Linked DNA regions of Struthio camelus. The protein of the gene in region 4 interacts with the protein of the main gene of each other region in a pairwise test. Links are inferred from orthologs where the notes say so. Each region holds a gene or a part of one and is shown on either strand. Other genes may lie near its edges.

The links.
Region 1: the proteins of EEF1A1 (region 4) and HSPE1 interact in a two-hybrid assay, tested with the Homo sapiens proteins (2 studies listed by BioGRID and IntAct, with this or other methods). The link is inferred for Struthio camelus from reciprocal best matches to the Homo sapiens genes EEF1A1 and HSPE1.
Region 2: the proteins of EEF1A1 (region 4) and LAMTOR5 interact in a two-hybrid assay, tested with the Homo sapiens proteins (2 studies listed by BioGRID and IntAct). The link is inferred for Struthio camelus from reciprocal best matches to the Homo sapiens genes EEF1A1 and LAMTOR5.
Region 3: the proteins of EEF1A1 (region 4) and IKBKG interact in a two-hybrid assay, tested with the Homo sapiens proteins (2 studies listed by BioGRID and IntAct, with this or other methods). The link is inferred for Struthio camelus from reciprocal best matches to the Homo sapiens genes EEF1A1 and IKBKG.

The regions. Positions count from the first base shown.
Region 1 is NC_090947.1:11,797,974-11,805,116, reverse strand, and holds the start of HSPE1 (10 kDa heat shock protein, mitochondrial), read left to right. Parts: upstream 1-4,129; 5' UTR 4,130-4,357; coding exon 4,358-4,360; intron 4,361-6,174; coding exon 6,175-6,339; intron 6,340-7,143. Other genes in the region: HSPD1 (60 kDa heat shock protein, mitochondrial), read right to left, coding at 2,518-2,691. UniProt on the Homo sapiens protein: Co-chaperonin implicated in mitochondrial protein import and macromolecular assembly. Together with Hsp60, facilitates the correct folding of imported proteins.
Region 2 is NC_090965.1:4,483,358-4,490,559, forward strand, and holds LAMTOR5 (ragulator complex protein LAMTOR5), read right to left. Parts: upstream 2,690-7,202; 5' UTR 2,589-2,689; coding exon 2,554-2,588; intron 2,442-2,553; coding exon 2,380-2,441; intron 1,475-2,379; coding exon 1,357-1,474; intron 880-1,356; coding exon 819-879; 3' UTR 506-818; downstream 1-505. Other genes in the region: PROK1 (prokineticin-1), read left to right, coding at 4,830-4,919, 5,918-6,043. UniProt on the Homo sapiens protein: As part of the Ragulator complex it is involved in amino acid sensing and activation of mTORC1, a signaling complex promoting cell growth in response to growth factors, energy levels, and amino acids.
Region 3 is NC_090979.1:45,531-53,438, forward strand, and holds the start of IKBKG (NF-kappa-B essential modulator), read right to left. Parts: upstream 3,013-7,908; 5' UTR 2,998-3,012; coding exon 2,778-2,997; intron 1,460-2,777; coding exon 1,243-1,459; intron 1,172-1,242; coding exon 1,124-1,171; intron 1,040-1,123; coding exon 916-1,039; intron 763-915; coding exon 653-762; intron 581-652; coding exon 440-580; intron 357-439; coding exon 260-356; intron 1-259. Other genes in the region: G6PD (glucose-6-phosphate 1-dehydrogenase), read left to right, coding at 3,445-3,499, 4,271-4,392, 6,014-6,051, 6,143-6,251, 6,335-6,552, 6,639-6,794, 6,874-6,999, 7,088-7,181 and 2 more. UniProt on the Homo sapiens protein: Regulatory subunit of the IKK core complex which phosphorylates inhibitors of NF-kappa-B thus leading to the dissociation of the inhibitor/NF-kappa-B complex and ultimately the degradation of the inhibitor.
Region 4 is NC_090944.1:42,400,600-42,408,587, forward strand, and holds the start of EEF1A1 (elongation factor 1-alpha 1), read right to left. Parts: upstream 3,013-7,988; 5' UTR 2,729-3,012; intron 1,870-2,728; 5' UTR 1,822-1,869; coding exon 1,678-1,821; intron 811-1,677; coding exon 631-810; intron 488-630; coding exon 191-487; intron 1-190. UniProt on the Homo sapiens protein: Translation elongation factor that catalyzes the GTP-dependent binding of aminoacyl-tRNA (aa-tRNA) to the A-site of ribosomes during the elongation phase of protein synthesis.

The DNA.
Region 1 (7,143 bases), on a different chromosome or scaffold from region 4:
GGAAGTCCCCTCTTCTGGCCCATTGGTTCCAACCTAGAGCTGACCACGCTGGCTGCTGCCGAGCACCGCGGTAGCTGATCACGTGCCAGTGTGGCGTCAGCTCCAGCAGAGCTTCCATCTCAAGCCAAACGGGCTAAGGACTTGATACGGTACGTTAGCGCTGCAGCGCACTGCGTTGCTCCTCAGTTAGAGGAACGTCGCACTTGCACGCGGCCTATCCCCATCTTACTCAATGACTTAACTAATTTTGGATGCCCGCTCTGCAAGAGGCGGTACTGCTTCTGAAGTACAACTAACCCTAGAAGCAGCAAAGGAAACGTTAAGCTTCAGTTAATAGCTTTGAATTTACGAGAGAGCTTACATATTTGTAAGTCTGTGTTATGAAAGAATCACAGCAAAGCAAAGCTTAATGCAATTTCTTCCTGCTACTTCATTCAACCTGCACTACTGTTAAATCCAAAAGTGGTTCGAAACCTAGAAAACTACTTCCGGAGGATCCTGCTACTGATACAACTCTTCATGTAGTACTTCCTTATCTTCCTTAGCTTCATTCTCTATTTCCACCTGCTCTTACTCAAAACGTTTGTTTGGTAGCCATGAGGAGAGCAGCAGAATGAAATTTTTATATCCAACCACAGTAAACGAGCTGAACAGGCCCTCCTTTATCTGCAAGTATTCTTGGATAAAAGAACAGTGGCAGTAAACATACCAGTACTGTGAGTGATTCTGCATATCAAGAACTCGAGCACTTACATAGATAGATCTGCTCTGACAAAGTAATCGATCTGTTGGCAATGATTTAAAAAAAAAAAAAAAAAGGAAGCAGCAGCAGCAGCATTGTGCAAGATCGCAAATTACAATTCTTTAAGCACAGAATAGGACAAAAGGGAAGTTTTCTCAGCAGTTTAATATTTCTTAAAAATGCCGAAAACTGAAATAGGCATTAACAGTATAAACCCTAACTGCTCTATGAACATATGGAGAATAACACATAAATCAAAGTGAAAGCACTGGAATATAAAAACCCACAAGGTTACAATAGGTTGCATCAGAAACTGTCCTTTAACCAGTGCATTAAAACCACCCTTAAACAGTTGTAACGTCAGCTGATGCAAAACAACAGTTTCATCAACTGAGCCACTGAAAACGTGTTCCTTTTAGGAGAACTGTACCTAGGGAAAACAGCCACAGCTTGCTGAGTTCACTGTTCCTTTATCTTCACCTGCTCAGTTCATTGCATTTTTGCCTTTGAATAAAGCTAAAAAAAGGTGCAGAAATGTGTAAGTAAAAAGTTAAGTAATCTCACAGGGGCCAAGCAGCCTTGAGAAGAACTACCATGCATATACTGTTAGGATATGCTTTGACCTATCTACTTTGAACGTGGATTTTATTAACTACTGTGTATAATAATAACAATAAAAAGGTCTTTCCACGTGAAAGTTGTACTTAACAACTAAGTAAAAAAAAAAAAACTAAGTAACTTTAGTAAAAACTAAAAAACAAGCAAACTGCCTGTATTAAAAACATTCACAAGCAGTGAATGACAGAACGTGTTCACTTTAAAAGTGAGGCAAAACTGTAACTATATAATTTACTCCTACCAGGGAGCTAAAATAATTCACTGTAGCTACTCAGTAAGGCGAAGTAACTGAAGAACTGCAGTTTGCAACCACTTTCACCATTGTTCCACATACACCACTAACACCTGATCAATGCTACCTCATGACAAGTCAGAAATCCCTAAGAAATCCTTACTGAGAGCTAACTTGAAACAGATATTCCTGAGAGCCTGAAGAAAATCTGCATCTCCTCCTTTCAGAGCAGTTTCATTTCAAGACCTACGGCATGTTGTATGACTATGCAGAACACAGCAGCTACTTTTCCAAAAACCTGAACTTGAAAGGGGGATCATACACTACAAATCTTTTCTATACATGGTACAAATTAATGCCACTGACATGGATGTTTCAATACCTTTTAAAAACTGGTAACATTTACCTGCAATGAAAAACTTGCTGTTATGCTTTTAATGTTTCTCTCACCTTGTTAATACTACTACACGATGCGACGATAACAGAAAATAATTTCTTTCAAAAGAAAAAAAAATCACATATTAGCTAAACTACCTCAGGATGCAAAGAAAATTATAAGCAGTCAAATTATCAAGGGTACTGTCATAGGCTACCAACTCAGCTATAGTAATCAACTGCGCACGCGCTCTTATTCTGTTTTGCTTTATACTGTTTAAGCAACTATGCTGCACTTTTCATAGGAGTCAAACGTACTTTCCTTCACGACTATGAAGGACACGTCCACTATTATCATGGCTCAGCTGACAAGATGAGAATATGGCTGCTTGCAGTGGTCTGTCCACACTCCTTCTCCTATCCTTGTCTTGCAGATATGGAGATGGAAAACATGCAACTCTATCTAGGAAAAGTGACAACTGTTTTCCACTGTTATATTTTCGTCCACATCAAAGCGTTAACATAGTACAAATGCAAAACCTTCCATTACCTTTGGCCCCATGGTGACAGCTACAGCATCTGCTAGAAGATCTACTCCTTGAAGCATAAGAGCTCGGGCATCTGCTCCAAACTTAACATCTTTTGCATATGCTCGCGTTAGATGGGGGGCCAGTGCTCTGGACACTGGCCTTGTCCGACGGAGTAGTGTAGATAAACGAAGCATGTCTAAAAGATTAAAACACCACCACAGAAAGATATGAATACCGTGTCCTTTGCACGGCGACTTTTAGAATAAAAAGGGGAAAAAAAAACCTCCCAAAATTGAGGTAGTAAAGCAAGTGACCATGACCTTTCATTTTCCGATTGTTTCGAACGCAGACATACAATTACCTGAGGGTAAGAGAGCTCGGGCGCCCAGCTCCTCAAGAGGAGACCTCAGCTCCAGCAGCTCCTCATGGAGCAGCCTCCAGCACCTCTGAGCTCCTCCCGCCTCGCTTCTCCCGGCTGTCGGGCGGGAGATGGCCAGGGCGCTGTAGCACACAAGCCGTTCCGTTTGCCAGACGGATCCATCCCCTCAGGCAGCACCACTTCACCGGCAAACGGGGGCGGCCGCGCGCACCCGGGCGAGCGGGGCGCTTCAGGGTAGCGCCCTGACGGCGCGGCCCGGCGAGGCCCCAGCGCCCGACCCTGCCTCCCACGGGCAGCCCTTGCTCCGGGGCGAGAGGAGGAGAAGCAGCCGGGCGCGGCCGCGGCGGGCAGGAGAGGGCCGCCGGCCACGTGTCTCCTTCCATCAGGACACGCGCAGCAAGGTCAACAGCCGCTCGCCCCCTGCCGCCGGGCGGGCCGCGCTGCAGCGCCGCGGGGCCGCCTGGTCCGCCGCGACCCCCGGCCGAGCACGAGCACGGGCGCGGAGCGCCCCTCCCCCCGCCCCCCCCCCCCGCCGCCGCGGGGGGAAGCGCACGAGCCGCCGCAGGGCCCCGGGCTGGGCGCGCGCACGCGCTGGGCGCAGGCGCGCGGCCCCCGTCCGCAGCGCGCGCCGCTCTGAAGGCGGCCGCAGCGCCCCGCGTTCGAATCGCGAGAGCCGTTGCAGGCGGCGCGCGCCCCTAACGGCCGCAACCGCCGCAACGCCCAAAAGGCAGAGGGCAAGGGGCGAGGGGGCTGCGCACCCGACCCACTGGCATCCCCCCCGTCCCCGGGCAAGGCCGCTCCGCGCCAGGCCGAGCCCGGCCGGGCCCCGAGCAGGGGCAGCCCCACACGCTCACCTCTGTGCAAGGCGGGGGAGAGCGGCAGGCGGCTCCGCCGTCCGGACTCGAAGCGGAGCGGGCAGATCTGCGCGCGAGCCCGGGAAGGCGCTCAGCACTCACTAGCTCGGCCCCTCCCCCGGCCAGGCAGCCACCCATGTGGGGCTCCGCGCGGCCCAGCCCGGGAACCAGCATAGCCGCCGCGGCCCCGCCCCTGGCGCGGGCGCACGGCCGCAGCGCTGCGGCGCCGCCCGCCCTCCGCGCATGCGCCCTGGCGGCCCGGCATGAGCCACTCAGGTTCCGGGGCCCGCCAGTTCCAGAACCTTCTGGAACGCTCATGCTCGCCGCGGGTCAAAGGTGACGTGACCTCACTTCCGGGCCGGCGCGGGGCCCCGGGGCCCGGCGGGCCCCGTGCGGCGCGGGGCGCGGTGCCGTTGCAGCGGCGGCCGCCCTGCGCGGGGGCCGCGGGCCCGGCGGGGAAAAATAAACGGCGGAATCGCGGCTCGGGGGGGCGGAAGGGCTCCGCCTCGGGGCGGGCCGCGCGGGGTGGGGGGGAGGGTTGCCGCGCGCATGCGCAGGTGGTGACCTTTTTCACGTGTGCGCGGCGCAGGCCCGGGTCACTCGGTGGCGGGGAGCGCGGCGGCCGCCATGGTGAGTGAGTGCCCGCCCGGCCGCCCGCCCGCCGCGGGGGCTGCGAGGGGCCTGTGCTGCTGCCGCCGCTGCCTAGCAGCGGGCGGGGGGCCGCGGCTCTGCGCCGCCCGGGGGCCCTGCAGCGCCCGCCACTGCTGCGGGCGCCTCCCCGGGCCGGCGGCGGCGGCGGCGGCGGGGGGGGTGCGCGGCGCGGCGGCTCGGCTCGGCGGGCGCGGGGCCGTTTTGGGAGCCCGTTGGGAGCGCGGCAAGGGCAGCGCGCCCTTGGGGCGAGACGGGCCGCTCGGGAGCCCCGCGGGCGGGCGGGCGGGCGGGGTGCGGCGCGGCGGCCTGGCCCCCGAGCCTGGTGGCACAGAAGCCAGAAAGGCGCTTGGGGGTTCAGCGCCTGTGCTTGGCGAGCTTGTGCGGGTGGAGCTCGCCGCGAAGAGCAGCGGGGCAGGGGCAGGGGCGCCCTTACCGTGGAGCTGGAATTTTTTTCCTGTGTTCGCATTTTCTAATTCGGTGTAAAATATCCGTGTTCATAAGTCTAATTGCTTATTTCCCTTAAGCACAGGTCACTTGAAAAATAAATGAAGCTCAGAGCTGTTGTTTTCATAACTGGCAGCCTTTTCCATTTGTGCGGGTTTTTTTTTCTTCCACGTTGTAGTAGTAGCAAGTTTTTTTGGGGGGAGGGGGGAAATGGGGACAGCATCTTTTGTTTACTGGGCTTTGTGTTTGTCCTGCCTGTAACTTTTGAGGCATTCCTGATTTTTTTTAAAGCATGAGAGTGTATAACGATGGGTCTCGGGGAAGGGACCTTGGATGCTAGAACCTTCTCTGAGTGGGCTCTGGATACCTGTCTAGTGGAGCGCTATCTCCACGTGACTTGGCAAGTCTCCAGACCTTTGCTCTTCATCAAAGCATGTTCCTTATCCCTGACTCTGCACTTGCATTTAGTCTGTGAGAATGCAGCTACTGTTGCTGAAATGCAGCCAGTAGCAGCAGTAGGTAGTAGCAAAAAAGTTAACTCTTAAGCAGAGGTAGCTGTTGACTAGTTTCCTACATGAAGGAAAAGCAGCCAACACACAAATGTGCCTAGCTGCTTATTCTTGGGGGTTTACAAAAACCTTCACTTTTTTGCAAAGTTGTAGTCTATTTGTAGAACTCAGTAGAAAAAAACTACACTCTCACTTCAGACTTCAAACTTTAGAAGCTGTAAATTGTTATATGAAATGCTAAGCTTTGAAAATACCTGAAAAATACACACAGTACATGCTAGATTTTGCTTTTTTACTATTAAACGTTCCAGTACAGCCGATAAAAATGCCCCCAGAAAACTAGCCCGAGAGGTCCTTCATTAAATCTGGTTGTGACTCAATAAATACATTTCATATACTCATCAATAGTGATGCTAACTAAATTACAGGAGCACTAACGGTTTAGAATCGAGCAGCTTAAAAGCTGATGGAATTTTCCAGCCAAATGAGAAGGCAGCTCCATCTGGTGGTGATTTATGATGTTAGCTGGAGTACATCTTTGTATGGCTGAAATCTTAGGACTGCCCAGGGTGTGCCTGTTAATTCTGCTCAAGAGAGAATTGTTTCTAGGCTTGAGATACAGAACACCTGCGGTTCAACTTTGCTTGTTTCTTTAACTTTTTTTTTTTTGCTGCCATTAAAGGTTGCATATACTTGCCACTATTAAGAACAACTACCCAGCATCTTTCTTAAATTCTTGACTTCTCTTGGAAGATAAACCACTGTGAGGGTTTGAACTTTTTTATTGCCATTTTTTTTTTGTAGTGATCTTCCTGTTACAATATACAATTCCTTTCACAGGCAGGAAAGGCATTTAGGAAATTTCTTCCCCTCTTTGATCGTGTTCTGGTTGAACGATGTGCAGCTGAGACTGTAACCAAAGGAGGCATCATGATTCCAGAAAAAGCTCAAGGGAAAGTGCTACAAGCAACAGTAGTGGCAGTTGGATCGGGAGCCAAAGGAAAGGTAAATGGATCCAACTTTGGGTAGAGTTGGTAATGGTGTGGTGGTAGCTGGAAGCTTAACATAAAGGGATCGGTTGCTGTATAAATTTGGTTACACTTCATGACAACAAATGAGGATGATGAGATTCCTACCGCCTCTCTTGAGTCTGCACTTCAAACTTCACTCAAGTGTCCACCCTTTCCTCATTGGCTCTGACCTTGAATTCCAGCCTTCCTCTTGCTTCTAAAATGGGAAATAATGGCTTTTCAAAAATGAATGTTATTTATTGATATTTACAAGCAGCATTAAACAGTGGGAGGCTTTTTCAGTTTTGAATACTTAAACTATGATTTTCTGGGATGCCTTGTCTGATCACCTTTCAGGTGAAACGTATGGGATTGGCAGCTTTATTTCTTCAACTGCTGCTGATCGCATGCCTGAATTCCTGTAATTTGTGAGCAGGGTGGAATCCCAGAATGTGGTATTCTGTGTCTTAACGCGGTGCAAAATATCGTTGCCCGTAAGCATCAGTTAGGCTTACTGGACAAAAAGAAAATTGGGAATCAAAAATAACTGTTAGGTCAGTTTTCTTGAATTTTACGTGTTAAAAAAACAGGTCTAGGATCATAAAAAGGATAGTGACAGTCTTGACTTCGTTTCATAGTCTTAATCGGCCTGTGGGCTTCAACGTTTCAAGTTTTTTTCCCCACCAAAGAAAGTATCCATTTAGTAGTAATAGTGCGAAATGTGTTTAAAATTTAACTTGTGCATGTTGACTCAGACTCTTTCTTTACCTTGAGTCCTTCCATAGATACTGAGACAAAA
Region 2 (7,202 bases), on a different chromosome or scaffold from region 4:
AAAGCTGTAATCTCTGTTTCCCTCTCTTAAATACATAGGCAGAATTTGAGTTTACCAGTACTGCAAGGGGCAAAGGCTTCCTGCAGGATTGGTTCCCAGCAGCATTTGAAATGCTTGAATCTGTAAGGTGAAAACTGGCCTGGATTGGTGAAGGTGTAATCAACATCCAGTTCACGCAGAGCGGGGGCAGGCAGCACAGCCAGGGCAAACAAGTTTCAGTTTGAACTTCAATCCAAGGCATGGTAAGCAAGTAACCTTCATGCAGGAAGTTTAACCAGAGGAGGCTAAACATTTCCTAGAAAAAAATTCCTAGGAAAGTTTTTGTGCCTTTTCCACTGGAGGAGCCTCCCTTAATTCAACTCTTTATGCACTGCTCCATTTATCTAGAGAAATGCTGAGGAAGAAGGGTTTGGAGGAGCTACCTCACCTGGCTCTGGAAACAGCTCCCTGACTTCTGTCAGACCAAGAGGCAACAGTTTTTGCAGCAGGAGCAGAGAGAAGCAAATGCAGGTTTTTGCAGGTCATTTATTGATTTCTCTAACAAATAAGGCCACACACACACACGCGCACACCTCGTATTGTCTGATCATTACACAAGCTTGGCCGGTGACCCACATTTCATTCTTGGCAGCATGACCGCTAGAATGCGAGTTGAAGAACCCGATAGCTGCACAGGAGCTGTTAAGTAAAGAGGAAGAGCCTTCAGGCCAGATTTGGTTCCTACAAGCACGTTCTGCATTGGAGCAGCAGAGGAGAGTGGTTGTCCAGTGAGGAAGAGCTGGTTTGGAGGTGGGAGCGCTGCACAGGTTCCCGAGAGGTCAGGATGCCAGCTTGTGCACTGCTACAGTGATGCTGTCGTGCTTCTGGATCATGATATTCCTAGAACAAAACAAAACAAAAAAACCGACAACAAAAAAGTAATGTTTGAGGCAGTTAAGCCAGCTGCAGTGATGACGAAGCTCTGACTCGGGTGGGAAAGCAGACAGCGGTATCATTTCGTGGCTGCAGCAACCCCCAGCTGTGTGCTAGACCTGTCCTTTGCCTACCACACTGGCAAAAACAGTGGCTGAGGCTACAGGATGGGCTTAATTATCCATGTAGATGCCAAGTGGGGAAGAAGCATAGAGCTGGAGTAGCCACCAGCCTCTGAGAGGCTTCCTGCTGCTTCTCCAGTTCCTGCTACTGGAGATCCCATTAAACTACTGCTTTCATGTGCCTGTGTCGGCATCTAGGCTGAGATGGGGCTTCCTCCGTGTCTGCCAGTTCAGCTTGAGAGGAGGAAAGTCTCCAAGGCTGAAGCGAAAGGCAAAGGGAGAGAAAAGCAGCGCGGCGGATGCGCCAGGCCCGGCCGCTCACCCGCTGTCCGACTCCAGGCACACCACGGGCGTATCGGTCGGGTCGGAGGTGAGCTTGGCTGCCTGCTGGGCGAGGACGGAGATGACGCCGGCGTGCTCGTCGGAGAGCGTGCCTCGGCCTACGGGACGGCGGAGAGGCCGGGTGAAGCCGCGCTCGCCGTGACGGTGCTGTGGGGCTGCTCCAGCCCTTCGCCTTTGCCGCCCTCCCTGGGCCTCATGTCCCAAAATGTGTGTGTGTGGGGGGGGAGACTTCAGTGGGGCAGGGCCTGGGTGGGAGGGCTTTGGCAGGACTGAGTGACCCCAAATGAGGGGAGCTGGGGCAGGACTGGGCCCGATGTCCCCAAATTGGTGGGGGGGGGGGGGAGAGGTCCAGCAGGGCAGGGCCTGTTGCCCCCAAACTGGGGAGGGGGGAGGCAGGGCCCGGTGCCCCTAAATTGGGGTGAGGGGGGGAGGCAGGGCCCGGTGCCCCCAAACCGGGGTGGGGAGGGGGAGGCAGGGCCCAGTGCCCCCCCCAAACCGGGGTGGGGAGGGAGGCAGGGCCCGGTACCCCCCCTAAAGCGGGGTGGGAGGGGGAGGCAGGGCCCGGTACCCCCCCTAAAGCGGGGTGGGAGGGGGAGGCAGGGCCCGGTGCCCCCCCAAACCGGGGTGGGGAGGGGGAGGCAGGGCCCGATGCCCCCCCAAACCGGGGTGGGGAGGGGGAGGCAGGGCCCGATGCCCCCAAACCGGGGTGGGGAGGGGAGGCAGGGCCCGGTGCCCCCAAACCGGGGTGGGGAGGGGAGGCAGGGCCCGGTGCCCCCCCCAAACCGGGGTGGGGAGGGGGAGGCAGGGCCCGGTGCCCCCAAACCGGGGTGGGGGGGAGAGGCAGGGCCCAGTGCCCCCCCCAAACCGGGGTGGGGAGGGAGGCAGGGCCCGGTGCCCCCCAAACCGGGGTGGGGAGGGGGAGGCAGGGCCCGGTGCCCCCCCAAACCGGGGTGGGGGGGAGAGGCAGGGCCCGGTGCCCCCACACGGGCGCTCCGCTACTTACACCCCAGGTTCAGGCCCTGCGAGTCGGTGCACAGGACGCCCACGACGGCCGGGCTCTTCATGCTGCGGGGGCAGACGGCGGTGGGTGAGCGGTCAGCGCAGCCCCGGTGCCTCCCTCCCCCCTCCCCCTCCCCAAAACATCCCCCTCCCCCGGTTCCCCCCCCCCCCGGCGCACGTGTCCTCCAGGTGCTGCTCCAAGCTCCCCTCCATGGCGCCCCGCCGCTTCCGCCCTGCCCCGCCGCTCCTGGCGGCGGCGTCGCTCACGTGACGCGCGCTGGCGGACGGCGGCTCCGCGGGGCCGAAAGGCGTCGCTACGCGAACGCGGGCGGCACTCGCTGCGCTGGCGGCGCGGGGCGGCGGCTCCCCCAAAACCGCGCCCGCTCTGGCCGGCACCTCCGGGGCCGAGAGCCTCCCGGCAGAGCCCTGCGCGACGCCAGGGACCAGCCACCATCCGAGGGAGGATGCGCTGCGGGGGCTCAGGGAGCCGCTCGGAGCCCCCTTAAAAAAGGGCAGAACAGCCTTTTCCCCCCAAATAATGAGTGTGGGTTTTTTTTTTGGGGGGGGGGCACAAACGATAGAGGGAGAAATCTCCCATCCGGATGCTGGCGGCTGCAGCACTGGGATAACTGGGAGCGCTGGTGCTGCCCGCATCTGGGGCTTTTGCAAGGGAGCCCTCCCAAAACACAGCCTCGCAGGTGGCGAGGAGGAGGAGGAGGAGGAGGAGGAAGATTTACAACCAGCGCGTCCGCATTGCTAATAAGGCACCGGCTGGAGCCGCTTTGGCCGCCGCCGCTCGCTGCCTCTCGGCTTGTCAGGGCGGAAAATTGAAACGTTATTGATGGGAGAGGCGAAGCCCAGAAATATCCATTTTTCTCCTGGGGGAGCTGCAAAGGGGTCCGGCGGCGGCAGCCGGGCTCCGCGCGGCCCTGCTCGCCGGGAGCCCGCTTTTGGCCCTAGCCTTTCCCAAGGCGGCGGGGGGTTTCCACCTTGGGAAACGACGCGGAGCAAAAAGGCACGTAGCCACCGGGCTCTGCGTCTTCTCTGCCCCGCGGGGACCTTTGCAAGGAAATGGGCCCAAACCAGCAGGTTTCAGGCCATTCCCTGCCCTGAGACTTCAGTGTTTCTGGCTCAACAGGGGCAATTTAGGGGGTTGGGAGTAATTAATCCAAGAGCGGGTGGACGAGACCTTACCGAAGCGGTAGGACCCGTCAGAACAGCTGCCGCTTCAGAAGAATCGCTCTTCGCCAGCGGAGAAAATTGCCCGGCTATTTTTAGTGTGCCAGCTAATTAAATATATAGACAATTTAGCATCTCACGGAGAGGCTCTCCAGGAGAAATTCTGCCGGCAGCAGAAAAGCCCGAATAAACCCCTCGGGGTCAGAGCGTCACCCCGGGGCTGCTGAGGCCGGTGGCTGGATTTCATTCACGTCCCCAAATCGGCGATGGCAGCCGCTGTTTTTTCAGCGCTTCAGGTTTTGTGGGCGCTCAGCCTGGCGCCCACTTAAATATGAAGCGGCTCCTATTGGCAGCCCTTTTTATTTTAATGTGGGTCTTGACGTGACTCAGTTTCCTCTCCTGGTTTGCTTCTCCTGGGGAACGGACAGAGGGGGCTGAATTCATTAATGCTCACGGGCAGCCTGGATGCTGCGGTGATGGTACCCAATGGCTTGAGGGAGGTGAGGGGGGGACCTTGCTGCGGCCTTGCCAGCAAAAGGTTTTCCCACCGTGGGAAAAAAGTTTTCCCACCAGAAATGCAGCCCAGGTTGCATTCAGCTTGATTCGACACGATTTTGCTGAACAAAAGCCAAAGAGAAACACCGAGGACGGAGAGCGAGGAACAAAAATCAGCGCAAAAAGCCACCGGGCTGCAACGGCACAGCGTCCATCGGGAAGGAGGGGTTTCTAACCCTTTGCACGAACACTGGGGAAATTTTGATGCTCTTTTTAAACAAAACCCCCTTTTTTCAGGTAGGAGAAGGCGCTGAGAGAGCCACCCTGAGTTTCACGGGCCGCTGCGGGAGGGCAGGGTATTTATCACAGGCCACCACTTTATTCCATGCTGTGCACCATGATCTGGGAAGTCCCAGGCTCATTTTTTTTGTCACGTCTTTGGCTTTGGCTGAATAGTCAAAAATTCTTAGTTGAATTCTTAAGTACGTCAGGCAGGGATAAATGTATGTGTCTATAAGTATGCTTGAAAAATCCAGTTGTGTTGGCTTAACTGAAAAATAAGCCCAGGTGACTGGTGATGTTTTATCCCCTGCTGCTTGGGTGATTTATTAATATTTCTTTCCTACCGTTAGCGAGTCAGGTCTCATCTGCTTCTTCTGAGCTCATCCGAAAAAAAAAAAAAATACCCAACTGGCATCCGGGGCAGACGGAGGGGCGTTATATAGGGCGCGAGGCACGGGCGCTCGCGGAGCTGGGTGCGCGGCCGAGCGCCTCGGCACCATGAGGAGGGTCCTGCAGGGCGCCTGCCGCCTGCTGCTGCTGCTGCTGCTGCTGCTGCCGCCGCTCCAGCGGTGCGCTGTCATCACCGGGGTGAGTCGGGGCCCGCCGCCCTGGGGGGCTTCGCGCGTCCTGGAAATCGGGCAGAGTTTGCGCCCGACCGCGGGAGCCGGCCCCGGCCTCCCCCCTCCCCGCCCCGGGCGAGTGCGGAGCAGTGATTTGTGAGTCCCTCTCTTTCTCCCCAAAATGCTCCTCATTTCTGATGTTTTACCTTAAAGCTGTCTTTTTTTTTTTAATTATTATTTTTAAAGCAAGGGACGCGGTGATTTTACCAGCACGCGAATTAACGATTGGCGGTTTGGTCCCAAATTCCAGGGGGGGCGACACCAGGAAAAGCCCGTGCCAGCCGTGAGCGATGCTGCTGAGAGCCGAGGGCTCTGTTTCTGGGGCAAGCTGTTGCTTTAACCTCGCTCTGCAATTCGTCCCCCAGTGCTGCCGAAAGTCAAACTGTCTGTTCAGAGATGTGGAATTAACTCCCTGCCTCTTTTAACCTCTCTTATTTGCAGTGAGCTCCCAAGAAAAAGGGATGGAAAAGTTAGCGACACCTTTCCCTGGTTGCTTCGGGCTTTTTTGCAGGAGTTTATTACTCGCTCTTTCGCTTTTCTTCCTTCAGCAAGTCCGTATTGTTCCTGAATATAAAGTCACTCCGAAGTCTGTTTTTTCTCAATGCCATGTCAGAGCTGGCTCTCGAGGAAATGGGAAAATCCAGGGGTGGAAAAGGGGTCCTGAGGGGCCATGAGCAACCCCAGCGCTGTGCCGGGAGCAAAACGAGCCCCGTGAGCACCGGTCCGGTGCTGGAGGTGCCCCATCAGCTCAGTTTTAGGTGCTTTGGGGCATGATGGCGAAATCTGGCAGTGTTTCCAGCCGCCTGTCGCACATACCCCTGCCGTGCCTCAGTTTCCCCCAGGACGGGCAGACATGCAAACCCCGATGACCAAAATGCACTCCAAAAAAGCTTGGGTGGGGGTTTCCGGAGCGGGGCGGGCGGAGGGGGGAAGGCGGCGGGCGACGGCTGTTCTGCCTCTCCGCAGGCCTGCGAGCGGGACCTGCAGTGCGGGAGCGGGACCTGCTGCGCCGTCAGCCTCTGGCTCCGGGGCCTGCGGATGTGCACGCCGCTGGGACAGGCGGGCGACGAGTGCCACCCCGCCAGCCACAAGGTACCGCCGCCGGGGTCTGCCTCGGGCCGGGACTCGCCCCGCCGGTGGCACCCAGCCGGGCGCCGGGGCTGCTCTCCGGCGCGGGAGAAGAGCGTGGGAAGATCCCTGGGTTGATCCCGGACGGAGGAGGGATGGGGCGCCTGGGACGGGGATGGGATGGATGAAGCCGCCGGCAGCGTTTTGGCCGGCGGCGGAGGGCTGGCGAGGCGGAAACGGCTCCGCGTAGCTGGGAAAAGACCACATCTCCCAGCAGACCCATCTCCCCCCCCCAGCTTGGGGTTCATCCAGGAGGGCAAATCCAAACCAAGCCAAAGCGGGTGCTTGTCGCAAAGCCTTGCGTTTGAAAGCTCCCTGCCTCGGCTTCCCCCCTCCCCGCGCCTGCCAAACTGCAGCGAGCACCTCGGGCGCCTAACAGCGATCTCTGGAGCACGTCGGCTTCAGCCGCATCCTCTAAAGCCCTGCAAAGCCCTGCCCGAAATCCTGCTGCTGCTCCGCGGTGGGCTGCACCCATCCATCAGCAGGTAGCTGGCAGCTCGGCACCCCGGAGATTGAGCTGTGCCTGCCATTTATTTCGAGAAGCGCGTGCCCCGGCGCTCCAAATCGACCCGCAAATGCTCTCTCGAGCCAGGAGAAGCCGAGTTAATGCCTCCGAGGCGGCCCAAGCGCGGCGATTTTGGCCGGCAAGAGGCACAAAACGCGGTTGGCTTATCCCGAAGCGCTGCTCCTGCCGTGGGTGTTCAGCCCACGCCACGGCGATCGATGTTGCCTGCCGGCAGCAAGGCTCAAGGCCGCTGCCGCTCCGACGCCGGCGGGAATCGGGATTTCATTTTGGACCCATCTCCGTTAAACCCCCAAGCAGAACCTAAGATAAATTCTCTGGGCTTAAATCGCCCTTGATATTTTTCTTGCCCAAAGGGAGAAGCGACCCGCCAGCACGAAATCTCAGCGTTTAACTGCAGCCCAGGAGGGAGGGAAGGGAGATGGGCAGACGGGTGGGTGGGTTGAGCAACGAGCGGCAAAGCCTTTCGCCGTCTCCCTGGAGTAAATCCTAGTTTTAAGGAGCTCAGCCGCGGAGTGGCCCGTGAGACACCCGCTGCCGTCAGCACCCCGGCGGGAATGTCCTCGCAAGCGGAGAAAAGCAGTTTTGCCACGTTTCGCC
Region 3 (7,908 bases), on a different chromosome or scaffold from region 4:
CACCCTGAGGTCCCCAAGAGGACCACGAACCACCCTGGGGTCCTCAAGGAGACCAGAAAGGGGGCCACGAGCCACCCTGAGGTCCCCAAGACGACCACGAACCACCCTGGGGTCCTCAAGGAGACCAGAATGGGACCAGGAGCCACCCTGGTGCCACCCAGAGCTCTGAGCGGACCAGAAAGGGGACCAGGAGCCACCCTGGGGTCCCCAAGGGGACGAAAGGGGGGCTCGGGAGCCGCCGTGGGGACCCCGCGCCCACCTGGGTGCGCTTGTCGTCCCCCAGGCTGGCCTTGATGTGGGTGTCGTACTCCTGGAAGAGGTGGTGGTAGGCGACCTGCAGCTGCACCAGCTTGCGCCTGAGGGCCGGGGCGGGTGAGGAGGGGGCCGGGCGGGCGCCCCCCCCCCGCCTGTCCCCAGCCCCCCCCCCGGCGTCACTCACTTCTCCTCGGTGGCCCCCTGGCGCTCCACCCGCAGGGCGGCCTCCAGGTTCTGCACCTGGAGCCGGAGCTGGTCCAGCTGGAGGCTGTGGGCGGCCGCCGCCTCCTCCAGCGCCCGGCACCGCTCGCCCGCCGCCCGGGCCCTGCCGGCGACAGCGTCACCCCGGGGCCGGGGGGGGGGCCGGCGGGGGGGGGGCCGGGCCGCGCGCCCCCACCTGTGCTCCAGCTCGCCCCGCTCCCGCCGGCTGCTCTCCAGGCGGCTCTGGCTCTCCTGCAGCTCGCCCAGCAGCGAGGTCACCTGCGCCTTCACCGACGCCTTGTCCTGCTGCGGCGGGGGGGCGGAGGGCGGCGTCACCCGGCGCAGCGGCGTCACCCGGCGGGGGCGTCACCCGGCGCGGCGGGGGCGTCACCCGGCGCGGCGGCGTCACCCGGCGCGGCGGCGTCGCGTCACCCGGCGCGGCGGCGGGGCGTCACCTACCTCCAGCTGCCGCCGCAGCGCCTGCAGCTGCAGCTCGGCCTGCCGCGCCGCCTCCTGCGCCCGGCTCTCGGCCCGCGCCCGCGCCTCCCGCGCCGCCTCCAGCGCCTGCCGCAGGGCCGCCTGCCTGCGGGCGGCAGGGCGGGGGCGTCGGGGGGGGCCGCCGCGTGCGTCCCCCCCCCCCGCCCCGTCCCCCCGGCGCCCCACTCACTCGGCCTCGGCCGCCGCCAGGCGCCGCCGCAGCAGCTCCGCCGCGCTCCTGCCGGGGGGAGAGCGGTGAGGAGGGGGCCGGCCGGCGGCGTGCCCCCCCCCCCGGCCCCCCGGCCTCACCCGGCGGCGGCCGCCTCCTGCTGCTCCTCCTGCTCCCGCTGCCCCTCGGGGGGGCCGGGGGGGGGCTCGGCGGGGCGGGCGCGCAGCCGCTCCACCAGGGCCCGGGCCTGCCGGAAGCGGCCCAGCAGGAAGTCGCGCTCGTCCCGCTGCGCCGCCTGCCAGCGGCGGAAGTCGTCGCAGCGCCGCCGCAGCGCCTCGTTGCTGCGCCGCAGCGCCTCTGCGGGGGGGGGACACGGGGGGGGTCAGCGGGGGCCGAGGCCCCCCCAGCACCCCCCAGCGCCGCCCCCAGCGCCCCCCAGTCGCCCCAGCGCCGCCCCAGCGCCCCCCAGTCACCCCAGCGCCGCCCCCCAGTCACCCCAGCGCCGCTGCAGCGCCTCTGCGGGGGGGGGGGACACGGGGGGGGGTCAGCGGGGGCCTCGGCCCCCCAGCGCCGCCCCCAGCGCCCCCCAGTCACCCCAGCGCCGCCCCCAGCGCCCCCCAGTCACCCCAGCGCCGCCCCCAGCGCCTCGTTGCTGCGCCGCAGCGCCTCTGCGGGGGGGGGGACACACGGGGGGGGTCAGCGGGGGCCGAGGCCCCCCCAGCGCCGCCCCCAGCGCCCCCCCGTCGCCCCAGCGCCACCCCCAGCGCCCCCCAGTCACCCCAGCGCCGCCCCCAGCGCCTCGTTGCTGCGCCGCAGCGCCTCTGCGGGGGGGGGACACACGGGGGGGGGTCAGCGGGGGCCGAGGCCCCCCCAGCACCGCCTCCAGCGCCCCCCAGTCACCCCAGCGCCGCCCCCAGCGCCCCCCAGTCACCCCAGCGCCGCCCCCAGCGCCTCGTTGCTGCGCCGCAGCGCCTCTGCGGGGGGGGGACACACGGGGGGGGGTCAGCGGGGGCTCGGCCCCCCCAGCGCCCCCCCAGTCGCCCCAGCGCCTCTGCGGGGGGGGGGGACACACGGGGGGGGGTCAGCGGGGCCTCGGCCCCCCCAGCGCCCCCCAGCGCCGCCGCAGCGCCTCTGCGGGGGGGGGGACGACACACGGGGGGGGTCAGCAGGGGCCTCGGCCCCCCCCAGCGCCCCCCAGTCACCCCAGCGCCGCCGCAGCGCCTCTGCAGGGGGGTACACGGCGGGGGGGTCAGCGGGGGTCTCGGCCCCGCTGACCTGGCACCCCTGGGTGCCAGCCCAGCATCCTAGAGCCTCCCAGTCCAGCCCCCCAGATTCACCCACCAGCGGCTCCCAGTCCCCCCAGTCTAACCCCCCCAGTGCTCCCGAGTCCAGCTCCCCAGTACCTCCCAGTCCCCCCAGTCTAACCCCCCCAGTGCTTCCCCGTTCAGTTCCCCAGTTCCTCCCAGTCTAACCCCCCCAGTGCCTCCCAGTGCCCCCAGACCAGCCCCCCCGCAGCTCCCAGTCCCCCCCGACTCACCTCCCAGTGTCTCCCAGTACCCCTAGTCCAGCCCCCCAGTCTTGCTCCCTAGTACCTCCCAGTCTGCCCAGTTTCACCCCTCAGTACTTCCCAGGGCCCCCAGCGCCGCCGCCCCCGGAGGCCCAGGTCCCCCCTCACCCTTGAGGTCACGGTTCTCGGCCAGGAGGCGCTGGAGCCCCTCGGGGCTGCCCGGCTCCGGCGGGGCCCGGCCCGGCGCCGCCGCCGCCTCCTCCTCCTCCACCGCCGCCGCCGCCGCTCCCGGCTCCGGCCCCGCCGCCGGCCCCGACCCGGGGCCGCCGCCGCCGCCGCCGCCGGGCTGCACCATGTCCGCGGGCCGCCGCCACCGGGCGCCGCTCATCCGCCCGCCTGCCGGCACCGGGCGCCGAGGGGAGAGCGGCGGGGGGCGCCGAGGGCCGCCCGGGCCTGCGAGCGCCGCGCTGCCCGGCCGCCCTTCCGGCCTCTGCCGGAAGCGGAAGTGACGCCGGAAGCGAAAGCGCCGCCGGAAGCGGAAGCGCCGCCGGGAGCGCACCGAAGCACTTCCGCCTCGGTAGGTGTCATGGCGCACGGCGGATGGCGGGGGGGAGGGGGATACGCCGCGGGCCGCCCCCCGACGCCGCCCATTGGCTGCGCCCGCAAGAGCCCGCCGCGTGGGGGCGGTGGAGGGGCCTGCCATTGGCCGGCGGGGCGGGGCGGTGAGCGAGGCCCCGCCTCCGGGCCCTTCCCATTGGTGGCACGGCGGGGTGCGGCGCGGCGATTGGCCGGCGCGGGAGAGGGGGGCCGGTGGGGCGGGGCCGGCGCGGGGAAAATGGGGAGCCGCGCGAGCGTGAGGGGAGCGGCGGCGGCGCGGCCGGAGGGAGCAGGTGGGGGCGGGGCGGGGCGTAATTAGCGGGGCAATTAGGGGTAATTAGGCGGGGGATGGGAGGCGGGGGGCGGGGAGGAGGTAGCAGGTGGGGGTAATTGCGGGGGGGCAGTTGGAAATGGGGGGAAATGAGGAGTGATTGGGGAAAATGGGGGGCAATGAGGGGCAATAGGGGCAGGGGGGAAATTGGGGGGCGATTGGGGAAATGGGGGGCAATAGGGGGAAATGGGGGGCAATAGGGGGAAATGGGGGGCAGATGAGGGAAGTCGGGGGAAATAGGGGGTGATTGGGGAAATAGGGGGCAATGAGGGGAAATAGGGAGCAATTGGGGGCAATGGGGGCAGGTAGGGGAAACTGGGGAGCGATTGGGGGAAATGGGGGGCAATGAGGGAAAACGGGGGCAGGTGGGTTGGGGGCGATTAGGGGAAATGGGGGGTGATAGGGAGCGGGGGTGACAAGGGGGGGTGGCAATGGGGTGAGAAGGGGCAAGGGGGGGTCAGGGGCAATAGCAGGTAGCTGGGCTGGGGGGTAAAAGGGGGTATTTGGGGGCGGCAAGGGGGGGTCTGGGGCAGTTGGGGGGTCTAGGGGGCAGTGGGAGGGGGTGGGGGGTTTACAGGGGCCAGAGGGGGAAGCAGTGGGGGGGCTGGGGCAATAACGGGGGTGTTGGGGGGCAGCCGTGGGGCAATAGCGGGAGGGAAGGGGGCGGGAGGTGGGGCAGGAGGCGGCGACGGCCGGCCCCCCCCCCCCAGCCCCGCCTGGCCGTCGCCCCCAGGGCTCATGGCGGGGCAGGAGCTGAGCCGGTCGGAGGTGTGCGGGATGCTGCGGCAGGAGCTGTGCCGGGACGACACCTTCCTCCAGGGCGACCCCCACGTCTTCGTCATCCTCGGGGCCTCGGTGAGCCGGGGGGCTGGCGGGGGCGGGGGCTTGCTCCCGGCCCGGACGCCTGGGTCCCCTACGTGTGGGGCGTGGTGGTGGGGGGGGAAGAGGAAGAAGATGGAGCATCGCGTCCCGGCCCCGGACGCCTGGGCCCTGGTGGCCTGACTTCTCTGTGGGGGAGGGAAAGGGTGTCGGGACGCCTGGGCCCCGTCGGGAAGGGGGTGCCCGGACGCCTGGGTCCCTGGAGGGAGGGGGGAGGGCACCTGGACCCCTGGGTATCGGGGGGGGGTGGGGGTTTCGCCCGGATGCCTGGGCCCCATTGGGGGGGGCACCTGGACTCTAGGGTACTGGGGGGTGGGTTGTCCGGACGCCTGGGCCCCGTTGGGGGTGGGGGGGGCACCTGGACCCCGGGGTATCGGGGGGGGGGGATGTTGTCCGGACGCCTGGGCCCCATGGGGGGGGCACCTGGACCCCGGGGTATCAGGGTGGGGGATGTTGTCCGGACGCCTGGGCCCCGTTGGGGGTGGGGGGGGCACCTGGACCCCGGGGTATCGGGGGGGGGGGGATGTTGTCCGGACGCCTGGGCCCCATGGGGGGGGCACCTGGACCCCGGGGTATCAGGGTGGGGGATGTTGTCCGGACGCCTGGGCCCCGTTGGGGGTGGGGGGGGCACCTGGACCCCGGGGTATCGGGGGGGGTGAGTTGTCCGGACGCCTGGGCCCTGTTGGGGGTGGGGGGGCACCTGTACCCCGGGGTATCGGGGGGGGTGAGTTGTCCGGACGCCTGGGCCCTGTTGGGGGTGGGGGGGGCACCTGGACCCCGGGGTATCGGGGGGGGTGAGTTGTCCGGACGCCTGGGCCCCGTTGGGGGTGGGGGGGGCACCTGGACCCCGGGGTATCGGGGGGGGTGAGTTGTCCGGACGCCTGGGCCCCGTTGGGGGTGGGGGGGGCACCTGGACCCCGGGGTATCGGGGGGGTGGGGGGTGTTGCCCCGACACCTGGGCCCCATGGGGGGGGCACCTGGACCCCTGGGTTGGGGGGGGGGATGTGAGCAAGGGTGCCCGGACGCCTGGGCCCCCTGAGGGCGGTGGGACGGGACAGGGCTGCCGGGATGCTCGTTTTCCCTATGGCGGGGGGGGGGGGAGGCGGGCCCGGACGCCTGGGTCCCCTGAGGTGAGAGGAGGGGGGGGGTTGCCCAGACGCCTGGGCCCACGGTGGGGGGGGGGGTGAGGATTCCCCCCTGCTATCGGTGTTTGCCGGAGATAAGCGGCTTCCTGCGCTTCCCCGTCAGCCGGCGGCGGCGTGCCGGGGCCGGGCTCCCACGTGGGGCCGGGCCGCCGCGCCCGGACGCCTCGTTACCCAACACCCCTTAATTAAACACCCCCCCTTCCCCCGCTCCGCCTACCCCAGGCGTTGTGTAACCCCGCGGCGGCCGGGGCGGGGACACCGCCGTCCCCGCCGTCCCGTCCCTGCTCCCCCCTGCCCCGCCGCCACCCCTGACTCAGCACATTCCCCGCGCTTCGTTAATCCCCCTCGCTAACGAGAGCGGGGTGGGTGGGGGGGGGGGAAGGCTGGGGCCGGCCATCGCGGGACCGAGTTGTGGCCGGTCTCAGCCCCGCGACTCTTTGTTTCCCCCGCAGGGCGACCTGGCCAAGAAGAAGATCTACCCCACCGTCTGGTAGGGCCCCCCCCCCGCGCCGCCGCCGCCCCCGAGCTCGTGCCCTCGCTGCCCCCGCCGGCGGCCGACGCTGCCCGTCCTCCTCCCGCAGGTGGCTCTTCCGGGACGGGCTGCTGCCGGACGACACCTACGTGGTGGGCTTCGCCCGCACGCCGCTCAGCGTGGCGCAGATCCGCCAGCAGAGCCAGCCCTACCTCAAGGTGCCGCCGCCGCCGCCGCCCCCGCGCCGCCCCCGCTGCGCCGCCGCCGCCCCGCTGACATGCCCCCCACCCCGTTTCCGCAGGCCTCCCCGGAGGACGGCCCCCGCCTCGACGCCTTCTTCGCCCGCAACAGCTACGTGGCGGGGCAGTACGGCGAGGCGGGCGCCTTCGAGCGCCTCGACGCCCACCTGCGGGCCCTGCCCGGCGGCGCCCGCGCCAACCGCCTCTTCTACCTGGCCCTGCCGCCCAGCGTCTACGAGCCCGTCACCCGCCACATCCGCCAGGCCTGCATGGGGCCGGGGTGAGCCGCCGGCGGGACGGGGGCCGGGGGTCCCGGCGGCGCCGCCGCGACCCTAAGCGCCGCGATTTCCTCCCCGCCTCGCTCAGCTGGAACCGGGTGATCGTGGAGAAACCCTTCGGGCGCGACCTGGCCAGCTCCAACGCCCTCTCGGACCACATCAGCGGCCTCTTCCGCGAGGACCAGATCTACCGCATCGACCACTACCTGGGCAAGGAGATGGTGCAGAACCTCATGGTGCTCAGGTGGGGGCCGGGCGCCCCGCGGGGGGGGGAAGGGGGGTCCGGGCGGCCCCCACCCACCCACCCACCCACCCGCCGCCAGGTTCGGGAACCGCATTTTCGGGCCCATCTGGAACCGGGACAACATCGCCTGCGTCGTGCTCACCTTCAAGGAGCCCTTCGGCACCGAGGGCCGCGGCGGCTACTTCGACGACTTCGGCATCATCCGGTGAGCGAGCGGCGGGGGCGGCGGGCGGGGGGGCCGCGGCGGTGCCCCCCCCCCGGCCCCCCTGCCCCAACGGCGCGTCTCGCCGCAGGGACGTGATGCAGAACCACCTGCTGCAGATGCTCTGCCTGGTGGCCATGGAGAAGCCGGCCTCCACCGACCCCGACGACGTGCGGGACGAGAAGGTGCCCCCCCCCCCCCCCGCCCCGCAGCCTCTGGTGGGCTCCCGAGCCGCCCCCCGCCGCCGCCCCCAGGCTCTCGGCGACCCTCCGGGCCTTCAGGCGGTCGCGAAGCGGCGCCGGCGGGCTGGGAGGCCTGTTCCCGAGGGGGGGGGGGGGGGGGGCGCCTGGCTGACGGCCGCCTCGCCCAGGTGAAGGTGCTCAAGAGCATCGCGGAGGTGCGGCCGGAGGACGTGGTGCTGGGCCAGTACGTGGGCGACCCGCGGGGCGAGGGCGAAGCCCGCAGGGGCTACCTGGACGACGCCACCGTGCCGCCCGGCTCCACCACGGCCACCTTCGCCGCCGCCGTGCTGCGCGTGGCCAACGAGCGCTGGGACGGTGAGCGGGGCCGGGGCCGGGGCCGGGGCCGGGCCGGGGGCCGCCCGAGGGTGACGCCGGCCCCGCCGCAGGGGTGCCCTTCGTGCTGCGCTGCGGCAAGGCCCTCAACGAGCGCAAGGCGGAGGTGCGGCTCCAGTTTCGGGACGTGCCGGGCGACATCTTCCAGCGGCAGTGCAAGCGCAACGAGCTGGTGGTGCGCGTGCAGCCCGACGAGGCCGTCTACACCAAGATGATGACCAAGAAGCCCGGCATGTTCTTCAACCCCGAGGAGTCCGAGCTCGACCTCACCTACGGCAACCGCTACAAGGTGCCCCCCCCCCCGAAAAAACCCCCCTCACGGGGTCCCCAAATTGTC
Region 4 (7,988 bases):
CCATAAATTATCTGCTGGTTTTGATGACATAAGACTAGACTAAGAATTTGTCGAGTGGCACGATCCGATTTTGAGCTCAGCACCCACAAACTGAACTTAAACTACCGAAACATATGCATGTTTTACTATTACATGAACTAATAAGATTACTGAGGATCAATTAAGTTCTTAATACAAACGTCAAACCTACGTTAGAGCTAGGCTCCAACATGTTGTCTCCGTTCCAACCAGAAATTGGCACAAAAGCTACAGTGTCTGGGTTGTAGCCAATTTTCTTGATGTAAGTGCTGACTTCTTTAACAATTTCTTCGTATCTCTTCTGGCTGTAAGGTGGCTCGGTGGAATCCATCTTGTTAACACCAACAATCAGCTGTTTCACACCCAGTGTGTAGGCCAGAAGGGCATGCTCACGGGTCTGCCCGTTCTTGGAAATACCAGCCTCGAACTCACCAACACCAGCAGCGACAATCAGGACAGCACAATCAGCCTTTGAAAAGAAAGAAAGAAAGAAAGAAAAAAATAGTAACATCAACTATGAAGTTTACATACGTGTCTGTGTGTTAAGATACACACAAACAAAAAAAACACCCCACTCCCAAGCTCCTAAAATCCTTAGTTCTATTTACATACCTGAGAAGTTCCAGTAATCATGTTCTTAATGAAGTCTCTGTGTCCAGGAGCGTCAATGATGGTGACGTAGTACTTGCTTGTTTCAAATTTCCACAGGGAAATATCAATAGTAATACCACGTTCACGTTCAGCTTTCAGCTTGTCCAAGACCCAGGCGTATTTGAAGGAACCTTTGCCCATCTATCGATTAAGAAAAAAATTCAGTGTTTTTGAAATACGTACTTAATTTTGTTCAGAAAAATCACGAACTGAGAGACACTACCTAAAGGGCAAAAATCTAAAAATAAGAGTAGCTTATACTGGTAAGTGTTGTTGCTTACAAAACTCTGGCCTAGATTCATCTGGCACTACTAGTGACAGATGCCAACTCGTTTTGTTATTTAACCTGCTGACACTTTTAGTACTCTTGACAGCTTGTTAACTGTACTAACACATTACAAGTTAAACCTTGTAAAGCTAAGCTCTCCTATCAAGTGTCCTTCAGAAATTTTTCTTTTCTTAGTAATGCAATCCCCGCCACAATCAAACATCTAAACTGCTTCTCACACTAGCTTTAGTATGTTTCACGTGTAAAATGTTTGCTAAGACCTGATCTCCAATATTACATAGAAAAAGGATGAATAATTTGTTTAAGATTAGCATTCTACAAGCTCCAGTGCTGAAGTGCAGGCACTCCTGGATTTTCCGGTATAAGAGCAATCATAACAACTGCTTTAATTTTATCCTCAACTAAACGCACACAAAGACTTAAGACGGGAACTGCACGTTAGCTCCAATCCCAGACTATCGTTACCGTCGTTATGTAGATGCTACTTGTTCTTCTGTTCTGCTCGTTTCAGCATCAATAATTTGAGCGGGGGCCAACTAACAGAATGCGCAGATTCAAGAGATACAAACACTACTGCTTTTTCAACTATGGGCACAATTTCAAACCAGCGGCCCGCAAAACAGTACATTCGCAATTTATCAGCTTAGTTTTGCGACTGAACTTCTCTTTGTTCACCCACGCTCCCTTTACGTGCTGCTGGATGTTGAAGGCCCACAAACCTCAGCAGCTTCCTTCTCGAACTTCTCAATGGTCCTCTTGTCAATGCCACCACACTTGTAGATGAGGTGGCCAGTTGTGGTGGACTTGCCAGAATCGACGTGGCCAATGACGACTATGTTGATGTGGGTCTTCTCCTTTCCCATTTTGGATGTTTAGTTAAGCTCTTTCTTTCGGCAAAAGAGAATCGACACCTAAAAGCCAAAAAGCAAGCAAACAAACAAAGAAGTAAAAACGAAGTCACGACCACAGGTTTCCCCACCGCAGCCCCGTTCGGTGACACCCAGGGGAGCAGTCGAAAGGGGGCACCAGACCGTGATGGCGGCTCCGCGCGCGCACGCGCGGCGTCCTCGCGGCCGCGGCTCCGCCCCGCCGGGAGAGGGGAGGAGCCGGCGGGCGGGAGCAGGCCGGGGGCCCCTCGGCGGAGGCCAGCTCGTCGCCCCCCTCCCCTCCTCTCCCCGCACCGCGGCCGGGGCTCGAGTTACCCCCCGGCGGCCGGGGAGCAGGGCGGCGGCGGCGGCGCGGGCGGCTGACGGGCAGCGGCGGAGGGCGGGGCCCGGCCCGCTCCTTTGTGTGTGACTCACCCCGCCCGGGCCGCCGCGTCCTCCATTTTGTGAAGTTCGCAGCCGGCAGGAAAAGCGAGCGGCCATTTTTTTTTTCCTCCGCGCACCCCGTCCTCCCCTCCCCCCACCGCCGCCCAGCCCGGGGCACCACCCGGCCGCCCGCGCTCCCGGGCCCGGCTCCCCCACGCCGCCTCCCCTGCCCGCGACCACCCCCTCGCAGCCAGCGGCCGCCACGGCCCTCGGGGCAGCGGCGGGCGCCTCGCGCCTCCGAGAGCGCGTGCGCGCGCCCGGCCACGCCGCTCCGCAGGCCCCAGCGGCGACGAGGAGGCGACGCGCCACCGCTTCCCCAGCGCCGCCCGCCCCTCACCCCGCGGATCCCCCTTCCCCGGCGGCCCCCCGCGCGCGCGACGGCTCGCTCGCTCGCCCGCCGCGTGGGGCCCCGCCGGCCCCTCCCCCTCCCCCCGGCCTGCCCCGCGCGGGCGCGCCTCACCTGCCAGGCGGCGACGGCGGCGGCGGCAAACCCGGAGCGAAAAAGACCGACGGCGTGAGCGGCTCCCCTTATATAGGCTGGGCGGGGGGGGCGGCGCCTAAGCGACACGTCACCACTCCCAGCGTTCCAGCGGCTCCGCCCCGGCAGCGCCGGCCCCGAGAGGCAGCGCGGGCAAAGGGCGCGGCCGCCGAGGCGGGCAGCGGCGCGCAGCCGCCGGGGGCTTCCCCGCCGCGGACTGCGGCCTCGGCGCGAAGGGCGCCTCGCGGCCCTCCCCGCCGCGGAGGGAGGGAGGGAGGGAGGGAGGGAGGGAGGGAGGGAGGCTGGGCTCGTCGCGCCCCGCCCCGCCCGCCGCCCGGCGGCGCCCGCGAGCCCCTGCCGCCGGCTCAGGCGGTTGGCGAGCCGCAGCCCTGACCGAGCGAGTGGGGGCGGCCGGGTCGAGGGCGTCGGAAGAACGGGCATCGGCCAAGAGCTCCAGCAGCCCTTGGCGTGCGTGGGTGTGAGTCACGAGTTGCACCAACATCATGAAAGAATAGAACAGGCAGGCGCAGGTCAGGGTGGGACAGAAAGGTGAGGGAGGCACAGGGATGACTGCTTGACTACGCCATTGCTGTTGGAGAACTACAAGGAGCTTAAGAGCTGGCTGGTCTTCATCATCCCTGGCCCTCAACATACACGGTGGGGGGGAAGGGACAAGCTTAAAACTTCTTTCTTTTCTCCAAGATGACCGCAGCAGCAGCAAGGGGAGCGGAGAGATACAGCAGGGTTTGGTTGAGCCAGATTTCTCCTCTGGACCCTCCCACACATGGAGAAGATGGGGAAGAAAAAGTTGTACAGATTGGATCAGTACCAGGTCCAGCACAGGGACATCTAGCAGCTAAACCAAGCCCTGGAGAATGGCCCCAGGCACCCTCATTATGTTTCTTATTAGAGACACAAAGGAACTCAATCAATGAGATCAGAACTGTCGTTCAGTCTGAGTGGCACTCGTTCAGTCTGAGTGGCACTCGCTAGCCTAAAGTTGCCAGTTGCTTGAGATACTGGAAAGGAAGAACCCCTCCAGCTCATTATATCCCAAGTGCCCCAGGAACGGAGGTGGGGAGAGAGAGCGAGCGAGCAGGAGTCCAGGGAACCCCGTTACACTAGAACAGGAAACCACGTAGTCTGGCTTTTTAAAAAGATTTTTCTTTTTTTCTGGCACCATTGCGAGAAAAAAAGTTAAAAGGTTTTTTTCGCACAAAATACCAGTCAAGATGGACATGCTTTAAGACAGGCTGCATCTGAAATGGAAAGGCTTCAGGTGTGACCAAAGAGAATCACTTACACATTTAAGAAATACGACTTCTGTGTGCAAAAAACCCCAAATTGCATGAAGTGCCCTCGTGCTATTTTTTGAGAGGTCAACATTTATGAACAAGAGAACTACTGGATGGCCTGGCTCCCTCAACAAGTCCTCATGATTCCAACGGATTGAATTGTTTTCTGATTCCTTCACTCCTAAACGAGACAAGAAAACCCATTACATATTCAAATCTCAGATACCTATTAAAGAGAAATTAAAAAGATGAATATTTTCACATGGCCCTTTAAAAAGATGATATCTGCGAAGAAAGAAAGAGTGCATGCTCTATTTCCTTCTCCAGGTACTTTAAACACCTCCATTAGAGGCCATTGCTTAGATATGCCCAACTGCAGTCTTCAGTAGAGCAAAGTCAACAAAACCATTCATTCGCTGCAATGTTCTCCAGATTGGAGTAGTAAAGCGTGGAAATAGTTTCTTTAAAAAAACCCAACAAAAACAAACAAATTCACCCTACTTCATGGGTTGATGTACAAGTGAAATGTTTCCATAAATATCTGGTATTTTTCCACATCCACAATTAACAAAAATTAGGCTGTAAAAATAATTTGAAAATGTCATGTATTAAACAGGCTGTTGAGTTTAGAAAACACCTTTTACACACACACACACACACACACACACAGCCTCAGTTTCACTGAGTAAAAGCCTGCAAAAAGATTCAGATATTGTTAAATAAAAATCACACGCTGACAGCTTCAGTTTCACTGAGTAAAAACCTGCAAAAACGTTTAGATATTGTTAAACTCACTATTTTTTAGGAAAGGAATAAAGTTAAAGTTCTTTCTCTCCAATGTTTTTTAGGAGGAAACGGGTAGCAGCTAGACAGAGTTCAACGTTCTGCAGAACTAACATTTAGGTGAACAGAAATGCTGTTAAGAAGCGAAGAAGTTTCATATGAAGACACAGTAATGGGGGGGGGGGAGGGAAATGGATCACTTTTTTGAAACAGAACTTTCTATTTTTCAAAATTAAAAATATCCATGACCATAAAGTAATTTAAAGGCTCAGGTTGATGACAAAAGGGTAATTAACATTTGGTAAGGAAGATAAGCAGCGCTTTTTGGGTCTCCTGTAACGCGAAGACAGCTTGTAAACGCAAGCTAAAAGGAGTACTATTCAGGATGCTTCAAAGTTAGCTTCTAAAATGGGTATTTCAGTAGAAAGTATTTTTAGTGGACTGATCTGTCAAAGGATCCATTCTAATAAAAATAGTTTAAAACTTTCAATAGGTATCAGTTCCTTGTGCTTCAACAAAGGGAGGAGAAAGGAAATATTTTACTGATTTCTTACGTGGCCCATAATAAACTGGACTTTTTTAAATTTTAAAATAACTTATTTTAGAAGTCTTTTTTTAAAATGAAGCCGTTTGGAACTACGTATTTCTTAAGACAGGAATTTCTGTGGTATGTATGTGGCTGAAAGTCTACTGAATTTGTTGTACAACCTTTTAATCATGGTCCTGATTCAAGTCCACAACAGTTTTTTCCTCCATTTATTTAACTGAACTTTGCACAAGAATTTTATTATTTCCTCCTTAATCGGTCCAATGCACGCTTTTATTCTCTCAACAACTGGCATGTCTTTCATTGTCCATTCTATTCGCGGAACATTCCTATTATCAATCTTGCAAATATTTATACAGCTGGGCAGCTTTCAGATATATGAGTAGTCTCACATAATTCAGTGGAAATACATTCTGAAGAATCCTCTCAAACAACTAACACAGATAGGCATTTACTGGATTAAATCCTGGATGCAAATAGCCTGTTACATATTTCTGATTCTGTTCATTAGACAAAACTATTCTCTTTGATACGAAAGGCTTATGAAGAAACGAAGAGATTTCAAGAAGTCAAGATCTTTCAGGCTTTGGAGCAGTCCTTGTAAAGTCTAGCCCGACCATTGCTGGAAGGGCTTTGTGGGGGGAAAAAAATTATTCATTCTCCCGTGATCATGGTTGAGCATATGCTACACTGAAATAACTCATCCTCATATATGCCTGCAGTGTTAAGAATACACAGAAGTGTTCTCCAAAGCTTTAACATTGTAGAAACCTATGGAGTAGCCACCTTTGCAGAAAGTCCTGACTCTTAGGTCAAATAGTACTGAAACGAAAGTTACGCTGTCCACATATCTAGGCCAAATATTCTAACCAGCGTAAAAATAAATGTTTACTAGATTTGGAGATCAAACTAGCTACTACAGTCTTATTTTCAATTTAATACATAGCTATAGAGAGTATACTATAAATGTAAAATAAGGTCAGTGAAATCACGCTAGAAAATAAAAGATGTTCTCATTGAGCGCCTCGATAATTTTAATGTTCGCTTCCACATGCATGTGGAAGTGGCATCTTTTTGATCAGACCCTTGCAAAGGTGCAGGTAGCACTTACATAACTATTCTAATTGCAATGAGCATGGTCATTCATAAGTGAGAGTAAACACAGGCTTTATAAACACAGTTTAAGGTGTTGGGTTTATCAGATCTGTATTTATCAGAGCTCACGATATATGGAAGAGACGCTAAGATTTCCTGAGGGCACTTTCAGAAAGACTGGTGGAAAAATACCAAATTAAAAATACTAATTGGTGATTAGGAAAAAAGAAAAAAGATGGTGCACTACATTATTCTGCAATACAGAATAATTTACAGAATAATTTAACCTCATAATTTACAGAATAATTTAACCTCATACTTACTATGACGTACTTCCTAGTTCCTGCTGTATGTAACTATGTTGGTCCAAACGTTCAACATACATTATAGGATGAGCACACAGCTTTACTTCCATCTATAAATGCACTTCAATGCCTTGGTTCCTGCTAGAAGTAGAAAGCATCTATATCTGTTAAGAAATCCTTTTCCCTACATCATCCTAATACTTATTAGCAGATTTAACAGTCATCTCAGTGTTTATTAGAACAATTAATAGACTAATGGTGTTATTTACACACCAAGAGATTAGACAGAGAATATGCTTCAAAACTTGAACTGAGCATGGTTAGGTAACTGAAACTTCTTGAAGAAGCTAGCTTTTCAAATCATTTAATATGAGTAACGAGTATTTTTATATATAAACAAGTTAGTTGGTAGAGGGAAGAGACAACAATACATACACTTTAAGTTACAATCTTAGCAGAGCACAAAATAAAACCAGCCATCCGTGGAGGTTCTCAAGACCAAACTCGATAAAGCTCTCAACAACCCGGCCTGATCTCGTAGCTGATCTTGCTTTGAGCAGGAGATTGGACTAGAGACCTCCCGAGGTCCCTTCCAACCTGAATTATTCTATGATTCTATGGAAGATGCTGTTACACGTTGTAAAGTATTTCAGGTGACCGCGTCTACAGTTTTCACATCAATCTGTTGATACAGTTAAATATAATTGCTTTTGTTCAAACAGATGCTTATACTACTTCTATTACTGTTGTTTGCATGCAGTCCTAGTATTAATCAGTTCAAATTTACTGGAAGTAATTTTTGGAAAGATTTCTAGACATGATGAGCTCTTGTAAATACCACTAAAATCCATAGAAAAGGTGAGTGCTCAACACCTTTAAAATCAGACCTTTACTACCTCATGCTTCTGAAGAACCATTTCATTCTCTTTACTCAGTATATCGGCACAGCTGATAAAAGCTATCCAGACGTGGAAGTTAAAATTCACACTGGCAATGCAAACAAACCTCCCTCCCCCCCTCCCCCCCCCCCGAAATATCCAGAGAAAACTCTCTCTAATCAAAGAAAGACAACAAAGAATTGAAAAATGTGAAGTAATAAATCACAAAGGGTAAATTCTTAACGCAGGTTACATGTGTACATTATAGGATGTTTTCGTTTCTATTAGACTCTTGACTCAGTCTGAGGCAGATGATCTGGCAAAACTGCATCCCAAAGC